Linked DNA regions of Arabidopsis thaliana. The protein of the gene in region 2 interacts with the protein of the main gene of each other region in a pairwise test. Each region holds a gene or a part of one and is shown on either strand. Other genes may lie near its edges.

What was found. Proteins that work in one complex are often made in the same cells at the same time.
Region 1: the proteins of CESA1 (region 2) and CSI1 interact in a two-hybrid assay, tested with the Arabidopsis thaliana proteins (one study listed by BioGRID).

The regions. Positions count from the first base shown.
Region 1 is NC_003071.7:9,404,064-9,409,355, reverse strand, and holds the start of CSI1 (binding protein), read right to left. Parts: upstream 3,298-5,292; 5' UTR 3,006-3,297; intron 2,669-3,005; 5' UTR 2,564-2,668; coding exon 2,498-2,563; intron 2,177-2,497; coding exon 2,103-2,176; intron 1,884-2,102; coding exon 1-1,883.
Region 2 is NC_003075.7:15,640,542-15,648,549, forward strand, and holds the start of CESA1 (cellulose synthase 1), read right to left. Parts: upstream 6,304-8,008; 5' UTR 5,848-6,303; coding exon 5,767-5,847; intron 5,240-5,766; coding exon 5,044-5,239; intron 4,946-5,043; coding exon 4,773-4,945; intron 4,550-4,772; coding exon 4,435-4,549; intron 4,320-4,434; coding exon 4,130-4,319; intron 3,963-4,129; coding exon 3,696-3,962; intron 3,361-3,695; coding exon 3,015-3,360; intron 2,937-3,014; coding exon 2,799-2,936; intron 2,718-2,798; coding exon 2,592-2,717; intron 2,441-2,591; coding exon 2,228-2,440; intron 2,122-2,227; coding exon 1,857-2,121; intron 1,770-1,856; coding exon 1,573-1,769; intron 1,489-1,572; coding exon 1,138-1,488; intron 1,056-1,137; coding exon 468-1,055; 3' UTR 1-467. Other genes in the region: AT4G32420 (Cyclophilin-like peptidyl-prolyl cis-trans isomerase family protein), read right to left, coding at 7,009-7,312, 7,438-7,506, 7,593-8,008. UniProt on the Arabidopsis thaliana protein: Catalytic subunit of cellulose synthase terminal complexes ('rosettes'), required for beta-1,4-glucan microfibril crystallization, a major mechanism of the cell wall formation. Involved in the primary cell wall formation.

The DNA of each region.
Region 1 (5,292 bases), on a different chromosome or scaffold from region 2:
TTGCTTGAGTTTCTTCTTTACCAGAGCTCATCAACTTGATCATTGTCTCAATAGCATCATTGGAAGCACTGCCTTCACGTAGCATGTCATTGAATGGGACCACAGAAAGCATACTCTTCAATGCATCCAAAACGTAAATTTTAGACTCAGGTAGATCACTGGTCAGCAAAGCAGTAAGCTGACTGATAGTTGCAGTATCTGATTTATGAATCAAATGATTCAATGTCTTGGCGGCAATTTCTTTACCATTTGGACTACCATTCTTTAGTAGCCATAAGAGAGCAGGGACAGCATCCGCACTTTCAACACAAGCACGTATATCTTCGCTATGATTGCACAAGTTCCTAAGGATAGTTGCAGAGTCTTCCCTGGCTTTGGCCGACCCAGTCTCTAGAATTTGAACAAGTGGAGGTATACCTCCAGCAGCAGTGATGGCCCACTTGCTTTCATCATTTTCGTTAGACAAAAGGCAAAGAAGTGCAACAGCACATTCTTGCTGCTGTTCGGATGAAAGACCCAAAAGAGATATTAGCAATTGGATCCCTTCACGGCCCTGTAGTGCTTGCCACAGGCTACCTTCATGGTTACACAGCATCAGAAGAGCCTTTACAAGCTCATCTTGAACCTCATTCACCGCCATCGTTATTAGACCAACAAGCAAACGTTTTGCATCCGAGTTGGAAAGTTTGACAGAGAGTATGGAATTCCCATACAAACTTGCAAGTGCTTCAATTGTACGTTCTTGCACCAAGAATGGTAGACGAGGCTTAAACTGCTTCAGCAGAGTCTGTTCAACGACCAATGGATCTGATGCTCTTGTAGTTTCTGCCTTGCCATCATATATCATCAATGCTGAAGCTAAAGCCCCAAGGGTGTCGGCAGTCTGAGCAGGCGAAGAGCAAGATTCAAGGCTCTGACCAAGGCTTGATATGACATATGACAAACCACCGGAAATATTAGCAAGGGCACACATTGCATTTTCTTGTAATGCTTGCGCATATTCACCTTGCATGAATTCTTTAGATGGAGCTATTGTTGCATTTATTAAAACAGGAATACCATTAGAATTAGCGATTTCCCGCTTTGCTTCCTTAGATTGAGCAGAAAGCGACTTGAGAGCAGCAGCAGCCTCTGCCCTCACTGGGGCTTCATTACCCGATCCTAATAATTTGAGAAGCTGTTTTGTAATGTCTGCAGTCAATACACTGGAACAAACAGAGGCGTCTTCCATCATCATACACGCAAGAAGGAAGCAGACATTAGATAGTGTACTTGACTGCCCGCTTGTGAGCAGCTTCACAAGTACATCCACTCCCCCAGCTCGAATTGTCTCAGACCAAAATCCCTCTGTGGTACTAGAAAGGTTCTTAAGTGCACCAGTTAACAAACCATCAACCTCTCCTTTTTTATTTCCACTGCGCAATTGGTCCCACAGAACCGGTACAACTCCCTCAGTGGAAAATATTTTTGATCCAACATGGTCTTTAACCCCACCTTCAGAAACAGCATAGATTGTCTTTGCTGCAGCGATCTGCCCTTCGACTGAACTGGACTTGAGAAGACCAAGCAATGGAGGAATGCATCCCCCAAGTAACACCTTAACTCTAAGTTCGTTCTCCTTGCAGAGTGAACCCAAGACGGTTGCAGCTTGTATCTTCACTCCAACTGATCCCGATCGGAGAAGAGAGACAAGTACTGGCACAGCTTGGGAGTGTGATCCGACAGCACTGAATGCATTCTCACGCATTTCTATAAGGTCCAGTAACTGCTTCAGACAATATTCTCTTTCTTGTGCAGATGATGAACCTTGGCGCAGCTGCTCAATGCATTGGGCAACACTTGCTAATGTCCCATCTGGATCTTCCATGCTGGTTGTCCGGTCTCTGCAGGGGATGGGGAAAGTTAGATACTAATTCGCTAATAGGTGTGCCTTTCTGCTTAAAATGTCTCATTTGAAAGGATAACATAGGAAACCAATCCAGATAATATTAATTTCCACAGGCATTGTTAAACCAAGATGGTGGTGCAACAAATACAGATAAAACCTCAATTTTATCACGATGATTAGCTCCCATGCAGTACCAAATACATATATGCGTTACCTCAAACTCATCTTTGTGGTTGAATGTGGAGTTGGGGGCTCTGAATCATGCATCTTCATATCCCCATTTCTCTCCTGCAATCAAGACCAAACAACAGAAAATAAGTTAAAAGAGCAACAAGACCTTTTCGCTCCTATGCAATGGAAAAACTATAACCTTTATCATGACACTCTATCAGATATAACTGACTGGTACAAAGCCATTAATTAACAATGGACTTAGCTCAAGTACTTTTTTCAAATCAGATTCAAAATGCAAGGGACATATCAGCTTAATCATCCTGCTAATACACCAGATCTGACTTTGCAACTCAGAAAGATTGCAGTATATCAACTAAACAAGCTTTTCCATAAACCCGTGTGATGAATGTTAATACTGAATCAAGTAATTATTACCGTGTCACTTGGGGCAAGGCCATTTCCATTAGTGGAAGGAAATCTCCATCCAAGAGCACTTGTCATATCTTCACTTCACTTAAAAAATTCTCAAATCAAAAGTAGACCCAGAGACCTTGCCCCCTACCCAGATCTACTCAAATCAGATCGTCAGAACATCAACAACACCCCCTGCATAATATATAAAAAGGATCAATCTTTACAATAGAAAACGATACAGTGAAGTAGGAAAAGCTCAATGCAATTATATTATAATTGAAGACTAATAGTATAAAAATATCACTCTACCTAACTGAATTCTACTACTGCTAAATCTCGATCCGAATCGTTTAACATTCCAGATTCGAACTAAAGCTAAATGAGGAAACTTTTTAACCAATAGGAACTCAAAAAACAGGATTCTTCAGATCTAGATCATAATTGGATCTCTATCAATGAAATCAAACACAAGAGATCCGATAATTCAAAAAGCATGCATTTAGACATTGATAGATCAAATTGAACTCACCTCAATGCAACAAGGAGAAGAAGATGAACAATCTGTTACGTAGAAGAGAAGCGAATAAGACGAGAGAAAGGAGAGAGGAGTGAGAGAGAGGTTTCTTCTTCTTCTTCGTCTGTGATTTTGACTCAACAAAGTATAAAGCGGGGGAGAGAGAGAGGGAAGAGAGAGAGCTGTGTGTGTGCTGGTGAGAGAGAGTGATCAGATTGGAGCCGGCTTTGTCCACCGACAGACAGCGAGTGGATTCACTTAGCGACTCGAGCCGGCTTGAGTCGGTTGTCGAGCCGACAGAACTAAACGACTCTTGTACAGCGAATGGTATACTTAATTGTTTTTTATTACTTTCTTTAATCAAAAATAAATGAGGAAATTGACTTTTAGCTGTGAATTAATTATTTACATCAAACATTTTTTTTGTTAACAAAAATTATATAACTGTTTTTTTCCAGCAATTAGCCAATTAGTAAACATTTTGGTTCATTTGTTCAAGCAAAATTTTACATTTTATAAATTTGATTAACCTTTTTATCCAAAACATCCGTAGAATTGAAACAATATAAGAAAAAATATTATACCACAAAAATTACACACACGAATAAAAATATTGTCTAATTTATTTCTCAGATAATAACTTAATTAGTTAATTGTCTCTAAGTTTAGATTATGTTACCAAATTATCACTCATGGGGTTATCTCGATTTTTTAGTGCAACACAGTCATTACAAATATTTATTTAATATTTTTCAAAAGGATATCAAAAATAAATTGTCTATTTTATTGTGTCATTTAACATGTTGAAGTAAGTTATGTAATAATCAAAAGTTATCTCTTACAAGATCAATCGGATAAACAATCAAGAAAAAATAATAAAATATACTGATGAATTAATAAAAAGAATAATAGTAAGATCTGCAGTAGTTGTTGTTATTGGTCCTATTATGTTGATTTGTTACCAAACTTGATTAATTAGCCCATAACAATGGCGATAGTAAAGGTTTCTATCTACCACCAATTGTCATCCACAACATAATCATCACGAATTCTATATATATGGACAAAAAGTATAATAACTATTTTTACGGCTTCCTTCACATCTAAATTATTTTCCATAATTGTTCAAAAATCGCGACAGCAGTTCTTTTCGTCTGAAAGTGAGAGAAGTCGGGGGAGCAAATTATAAGGATGGTAAAACATATAACGTGGGAGAGAAAAAGCACATGGCCTCATGGCTCATGAGAATCAAAGATTCTAAGTTTTAACTATTCTTTTGTTTTTTCCTCGACGCATGTTTTGTTTCTATCGACAACTATGCCCATAAAAGCATATGATATGCACAATTATGATAATCATATGAATGCACATGTGCTCTTTCTTCCTAGCCAATTATGATCATTGACGATCATCACTATACCATAAAAATGACTGGACAAAGTCATATTCTTTGATGCTTCTTGTCACAACTTGATACATCCACTTTCCCGAACCGTATAAAACCCAAGAAGCAAAATTCTCATATAGATCTCATAGATTCGTTCGAAATATGTTAAATTTGCATCGGATATAGAAGGTGAAGGCTGCGTCTCCGGCCGGTGAACCGTCGTTTTACTGATCTTGTTTCTATTATGTTCCGATTTGGACCACTTTTTTGTAACCCGTGAAATTCTTAGCCCATCTGTCAATAGACCGTTTGGAAATGAATATCTAAAAAAAAAAAAAAAGATGTGAAGTCCATATTTAATCAGTGCCCGGCATTGGAACGTAGTAAGTTTGAGGAAGCATCAACTTGTAGCCGTGAAATTAATATTATGGTTTTTAGTGGTTTTAATTTAGCGTGTCATAAGTGAGAGTAAAAGAACTCTTTGATATTTCATTTTCATACATATATAATTTACTTCAATATAATGGTTTGATGAGGGTCTTATCATACATTTGATTTTTTCTTTTATTTTAGTGTTACATTTTAACTTAATTCTTACGTACATCTTTTCTTAATAGACTATTTTCTCATTATTATTTTTGGTTTCTCTCTCTCATTTTTTACATTTTGATTTTGTTTGCAAAGATTTGAAAGTCATCTTTGCCAAAAAAAAAAAAAACCAAAAAAAAAAGATTTGAAAGTCATCATCTAGTCCTCTTGATGAGTAGATTGTCATTGTTTTTTTTGCTAAATTGTAAATATTTCATAGATAATGAAAACAGTTTAGGTTGTAAACATAGAATCTGAGACCTATAGATATGGTAATGGATCCAAGACAAAAAGAAATAAAAACATATAGACACTCCTCCTCTCTCT
Region 2 (8,008 bases):
TGGGTGAGACAAAACAAGAGGGCGAGTTCACCCGAAGACATCAACACTTGCACCAACAATTGACGTACACCATCATATCCATAAACTTTTTGTAGTAAAGTGAAAAGCTTAGCATATAAACTTCAGATTCTTAGATAAAAAGAAAACTCCAATCCCTTTTTAGGACAACAAGTTCCAACATTACATAAGTGTGAGTCTAACAAGCTTTAAATAAAATAAATATAAGAAAGAATAACAAATTCTTTTTGTAGACTATGTATCATTTGGGTCCACATCTTCTTCCCCACTGGAAAATCATTACAATAGTGTTACGAACAATTTCACCTTCTCTGGCTACTCGGAGAAAGCTAATCTTGGACATGGAATCACCTTAACTGCCCGGTTCACTGGGGTTTGATGGGTTTAGATGATTTGGAATTCCCATTGCGCGTTTTTGATATATGCACACACAAGTATATAAATAGGGTCTAAAAGACACCTCCTTTGCCATTGAAGTTGTTGGCATTGGGATTGGCGTCCACAAAGGGATTGATCCTGACCCAAAGCAACGAGAAGATGGAGGCGAGAAGAACAGACCAGACAATGACGATGGTTGGTGTTCGGTTTTGTCTTCCCAACAGACCTTTCAAGAAAGGGTAGAGATGGGCAATAACCCATAAGGCGAAGAAGAGCTTCCCGAAAAGCGGACCCCACGACTGGTAGCCACTGTTTACAGCATAAGAGACACCAGCCACAATGCCTATGAGGTTCACAAGTAGGACGGTGGTTGGTGGAATGAGAAGAGCTGTCCATTTGAAGATGTAGAGTTCTGCAAAATCCCCATCTTCGTCTGTGGCTTTAGATGTAACGGTGAAGTTGGTGTCGATACCAGCAAGAACCTTAAGTAGACCTTGGAAGACAGCAAAAAGATGGGCGGATGTGCCACCAATGACCCAGAACTGCTCGTTCCTCCACCAATCCTCAATGCTCACACCGCTCCATCTCAGCTCCAGGATTCCAGTCACAGCAATTGAGATGAAGAGTAGAATGAACCAAATACTCGCGTAGTTGCTTATCTGCAACAATGATGATGACAAAAAAATGCATTCACAAAATGGGATTCAAATAGTAAATAGCAGTGTGGTCAGTTTTACAAACCTCGGGTATGATGAATCTGTCGGTGATGAGACAAAAAGCGGGAAGAATACAATACGCAATAAGAGGGATGGATGTAATAGGATAGACGATGGTGTTGATATAAGCGATCCTCTCCAAAAGTCTCAACCTTCCATGGTAACCATACCAGATAGGACAATGTCTGCTAAGAAGAATCTCGATAGATCCCAAAGCCCATCGAAGAACTTGGTTCAAACGATCAGAAAGATTGATTGGTGCAGATCCCTTGAACGCAGGGCGTGGAGGATTGCAGTAGATCGATATCCAACCCCGGGCATGCATCTTGAACCCAGTAAGAATATCTTCCGTCACGGAACCATAGATCCAACCAATCTAACAAAAGTGCCAAATAAGATGTCATCAAACAGGTAAGAAAGAGAACATAAGAAGATTCTGTAGCTGCATTTGAAAACTGACCTCTTTGCCCCATTCAGTCTTGTCTTCGTAACCACAGCTTATAACATGAATAGCCTCCTTCAGAAGAGTAGCGGGATTGGTTGTTGGTGGAATGCCGCCTTGTTCCATGAAGGTTGCCGCAATAAATACCGGCGACTGACCAAAACGCTTCTCTACACTCCTCTGGGACATTAGAATAGACCTCTCATCATCATAACCTGCATAAACAAGGATTGTAAGATTTCACCATCACATAAATCATTACATAAAGAAGTGATGTTATTACACAATCAGCTCAATCAAACCTTCAAAACCCTCATCGATGTCCTCCATATTGAAAAGTGGAGCATTGGAGTCACTTCTGTTGATGCCTCTCCTCTTTTCGTAGTTATACTTCTTGCTACTTTTACCTTTCTTCCTTGACCCGCAACAGCTCTTGACAATAATATTTGGTTCTAAATCTTCTTCCGTCAAAACAGGATCATACCCATATAGAGCCTGCCTATTAAAACAACAACCAGTACCCACATATACTGGACCCTGGATACCATCCAACCCCTTCATGTTAATCTGCCCAAGAGAACAAATATCCAAGTCAGGCCATAGCAGAAACGAGTAAATCCAACCAAAATATGAACAAAAGAGAAACAAAAGACAATGGGGAAGTGATACTCACATCGAAAAAGACTATATTCCTGTTGGCATATCGATCGTGCAAATCAATACCGTCAAAACGTTGAGGGAACTGGACATAGCAGCACTTCTTTCCAATAGCCGGGTCCATCATGAAACACATAGCTTCTTTAATAGCCTTACTGTTATTAAAGTAATGATCACAATCCACGTTCAAAAGATATGCTCCATTGGTAAGAACAGCAGATACACGGATCTGTCAAAGTAAAGAGATACTAAATTAGGAGAGAACACATAGCCTAGAAAAAAAAGAATGTGAAGCAACGGCTACACAAGAAGAACGTTTCTTAGGCAGTGAACAAGAGAATAAAATAGAGGACACAATAGGATTCTGAAAGTTAACAAACCAATGCATTCATAGCTCCAGCCTTTTTGTGGTGTTGAAATCCAGGCCGCTTTTCACGAGAAACATAGATGAGTCTAGGCAGCTCATTTCCATCGGTATCCAGACCCCCACTATGGCCTAAGAACACCTGAAATTGAAACAAAACGATGTAAACATGTTTCCTTTACGTTATCCTCTCTGTCACAATCAAGGGATTGCCACACTGTACCTGTATCATTCCAGGATGATCTCTAGTGTTGTTACCAGGCCAGGGAGTACCATCCTGCATTGTCCAGCCTTCTTCAGGGATTTTCTGTGCTTTGGCAACAAGAGCATTTATCCTCACTTTAAACTCTTCATACTCTCTCTGTCAATACAAACCAAAGAAAAAGTCAGTCAATCTCTTTGCCGTATGGATGAGAAGCAGGTGGACTTTTCAAATGACCTTCATAGCTCGTCGCTCTTTAACAAAAGACGGTTGGATCTTGTCCTTCAAGTAATCTATCTTCTGGGCAAAATAGAATTCAGGGGCCCTAGGTTCAATGTTGAATTTCTTGCAAAATGGTACCCATTTCTTTGCAAACTCAGCGGTTTCAGAAAGGGATTCAAAGGTAAGCATAGCTGAACCATCATCTGAAACATAACAGGCTACTTTATCTACCGGGTAGTCCACAGAAAGAATCGAGAGAACTGTGTTTGCTGTAACAAGGGGAGGCTCTTTCAATGGGTCCACTGTACTAACAAACACATCAACAGGAACGAGCTGTGATGGTTCACCGTCTCGATCATATCTACAATAAGAAACCAAAAAATCAAAACACATATAAAATCAGTATAATAGCTAAGCTCTATCTTAATAAACACTCCACTTGGCATGCTTCTATCATAGTCTAGTCGGAAACTTCACATGGTCAGTAGATTGCAGATGGTTTTCTACTAAATTTCAAGATTTACAATCATAATCTTCTTAAGATATATCATAATCAAAATTCAGATGCACCATTGTCTAAATTTAAATTAAATTTACAGGGGGAAAAAGTCAACTATCGAAAACTGTGATAGAAGATATCAAGTTAATACATAAAAGAGAGATGAGAGTAGGGGATGTATAAACTTAAAGACCAACCTTATAGCGAGACGGTCAAGATAAGTCTCCCTGTTAATGGGGTACCATTTGGGAAACTGATCAAGAAGCCAAGAAAATGCAAACCAGATCTCACAGATAACCGAGGTCAACCACAAAGGATATGCATTTTTCACAGGGTGAGTTGTACGATATTGCAAGAAGAAACACAAGATGATAAGCCGGAGAATAATCACAACCCGATAAGGGGTTAGGCGAGAAGATGGGATAGGCACCACACGACTCATAGGAAGACGTGTATCATCAGCCCTGTAAGTACGAGAACCATAATTGAGTGGAAGGAAACAAATGTAACAAAGCAGATACTTAATTATGTCTATCAATACATAATAAGAAACCAAGAGTGGTTATTAGCATCACGGCCAAGAGCTGTTTGAGTTGGACAATAAAGATATTGGTCTAGTATTTCCACTTACATTTGGAGTTCTTCGCCATTGGAACCAGTCCCTTCAATTTCTCCTCCTTTCCCTTCATGGTATTTACCAGTCATCTGTAACATATTTTTCTCCTGCTTCAGCTTCCAGCCTTCAACTCTTTCTTTCCAGTCAACATTACCAAGCCCATAAGAGTTCAAGTCTTTTGACGGGTCCACGATTCTTACAGGGACTGCAATTTTTAGCGGGAGCTATCAGTTACGGTACACAAAATATATATGTTGTAAAAATGAATAGGAATCACATTTAACAAAGACCACGTGCACAAGGGAAAAACATATGAATACCAGGTTGCCGTGGATCAATATATGGAGATGAAATAGCATTCCTGTCAGAAGGACCCAAAGGACCTGATGTAGTTCGCACAGATTGTGTATCAGGCGTGCGAATCTCTCCAGAAACCTGTGTATAGAAAAAGGTCATGAATCTATTGAAAACAGACACAACTAACAACATCTATTATTATTTCTTAATTTGGATGACCATGTACTATCAGAAAAAAATTCTGTTAAGATTTGTTCACATATAACATTAACGTGAATAGTAAGTAATAAATGACCACTCTAGGGATTTATTGAGTAATACAAATCACTCTAGAGTCTAAAGGGAAAATGTAGGTCCCTACCGTATGGCCATGGGTGAGAAGAGGAATTGGTTGAGATTCATGTCTAGAGGAAGAAGAAAACTCTTCGCCATGGCGTTGGTGTCTCGCCTTGTTAGCTCCCTGGGCGTAATTGAACTCATTCTCGATATCATCAACATCATCCTCATCTTCATCTCCTTCAACACGAGGACTCCCTGGAAAATTCCAAAAAATTGTTCAACACAACAGCAAAGAAACAAAAAGAGAAAATCCATATATAGCAATTGCCAACAAAAAGAAAAAGACAACTGACCCCTGTGTCGTCTGAATCTAGTCTTGCATTGAGGGCAACACTGAGTTCCATCTTTCCTCTCGTACTCATAGCAAGGCCGACACACAGGGAAGGCACATTCATTACACGCGACAAAGACATCTCCAGTTTCAGCGAGTCCAACATCATCACCACAGATCTGACATATCTGGCCATTCATATTCTTCAAAGGTTTGGTCTGCACTTTGACCAACATTGCATCATTGTTAGTCATTGAGTATTAGAAACTACAGAAAGAGATGAGCAAGGATCTAAATCAAAACAATCAATGCAGATCTGAATTAAGGCGAGTCACAGTCTGTATCCCATGGCGGGAACTAACGAGATCTAGTTGAGCTAAATCTCAATAAGTAAAGCTAAACTTTAAGAGTCAAAGATTTTAGCTTAAAAAAGTTAACGAACTGAAATCCACCGACACTTTCCATAAGAGATTTTAAGAAAACAGATGCGGCATTAATTGATATAGATCACAACAATTTGAAGAATTGGAGCAGAAAAGTTTCCATTTTCAGACACTTACTTGATCAACTGACACTAACTAACTACACAGTCAAAGGAAGCGAAATCTGAGTTTCAATGATCCAATTATGGATCCAAAAGAGACGAGATTTAGAAACAGAGAAATCTAGATGAGATCTACACATCAAAAATTGTAAGAACGAAAAACAATAACAAAAAAATGGGAAAAAGGGAAGATGAACAGACCCCGCCATCAGATTCATGTCGGATCCGAACGAGCTCGTTTCTCCGGTAGGATCCAGCAACCAAGCCGGCACTGGCCTCCATCGCAGCCACCGACACACAGAGAAAGAGAGAGATTCACAAAATTCAAAATTGGGAAATTCGTAGCCGATTCAATACGGCATCTCGAAAACCCAAATCTACTAAAAAAGGATGTTCACACACTCCTCTGTCACTCTCTCTCTCTATTTGATATCTCAAGCTGCTTCTTCTTCAAATCTGCTTTTGCCTATTTTATCGCAGAGTGATGTGTTTTTTCTTAATTTTTAAATGACAAGTACATTATTTTACCGGAGATGGTGACGGTAGTAGTAGCCTCTTCCTCTCCCACCGTTTTAGCTCAGCTCGGCTCTATTCGGCTCAAGTTATCATCTCTCTACTTTTTAAAGTGAGCCGTTCTGGCTTCCCCACTAGACGCGCCAGCTTCTTAGTATGTGACGTGGCAAAATCTTATTGCAAGAAAGAGATAGGACAAAGTATGATTGTTTGATTATATTAAAAAAAAAAAAGAAGAAGCCACGTTGTTGTTGGCTCTGGTACCAGCCTGTTCTTTTTTATTTGCTATCACCTGTCGGTGGACTCAAAATAACTAGTGTTGATTAGGTTCTAATTGTTAGCTTAAGAAGTTACGGGCGAATTCGCAAATAATTTTTAAATGGATGCCACTTCTTTTTTTAATCCCATTTTGTTGTTATATTTACAAGTTTTAATTCAGTATACAGATTTCTGAGTTTTAATTCATTTTTTGTGTCAATAAACTTTTAACAAAAAAAATTCCATTAAGAAATCATTTTAACATTTTTATATTTAGTGATAGTGATAATGACGGTGGTATAGTGATATGATATATATGTAGGAAGAAATCGTAAATTATATTGATTATCCAAATAAATAAATTACGATGTCGTTGTTCTAAAGTTTGGTGACAAACGTCACATTTAGTTATGCTTAATTTTATGAAAGTTTAATTATTGGACCAAAACCAACTCCGCAACGAATAATGGAAGTTAACATTTGTCGGCAAATGGCAACAAAGAAAAAATGTCGGCAAACATCAACAGAAATTTTTAACAATCTTGGAGCATAATCAAACAAACATACGCAAAAGACAATGCTTATGTTTTACAGAAGTAAACTACTTACTCTCTTTACCATCTCTTCTCAGTAAAAAGAACAAACACTTAACTTAAGGGTAATCATTATTCATTAATCATAGGCTACTAATCCCTTTTTCCCACCTGGGCTATTATCCGAGGATGTCGAATCCGACTTCGATGGAGACCTTGCCTTGGATGGTGATCTTGACACTGATCTTGCTTTCCCCGTCCCAATGGGAGATTTTGAATATGACTTTGATCTTGATCTTGACCTCGATGGACTCAGGCTGTGGCTAGCGGATGGTGACCTTCTCTTTCTGTAAGGTGGAGATCGGCTACGGATAGGGCTGCGGCTGTACCGCCGGTTGCGATAACAGAGACCAGGCGATACTGAGCGGCTTCTTCTTCTATACCTGAGCATACTTTCGAGTTGTGAAATCAAGAATAATTCTTTTGGATCACCAATTTTAGTTCCATATTCATGAAACTTTTAGATGTAAAGAATCAGCTGAAACAATGTACTAAAGAGGATAAGTACCTTGGAGGTGTTCTTCCTCTTAGTGGGCTTCTGAACCGACTTGGCGAGAACCTTCTGCGACTTCTAAATCTACAGAGAAGACGTTATAAAAAAGACGGTTCAGTACGAGAGTGTGTAACAGAAAGGGGGAGTTATATTATGTGTGGGCTATTCACCTGTCACGGTCACTCCTATCACTAAAGCGATAAGGAGATCGATCAGGAGATGGACTAGTTCTGTATCGACGGGCGTATGAGAATCTTTGGCTAAATCCTCTCCCTCTCCTTATGCGCCCATTAGGAGAAGCACTTCTTGACAAACTTCTTCTGCGGTCAGGAGGAGGAGATCTAGGCCGCACACTCCTTCTCCTTGCCGGAACTGGACTTCTGCTAATTCTTCTTCTTCCTCTAACAGGACTCCTGCTGATACTTCTCCTGGACAATCGAATAGGACTCCTGCTGATACTTCTTCTGGACAATCGAATAGGACTCCTGCTCACACTCTTCCTAGATGATCGGACTGGACTCCTGCTGATACGTCTCCTGGATGAACGAACCGGACTTCTGCTCACACTCTTCCTAGATGATCGGAC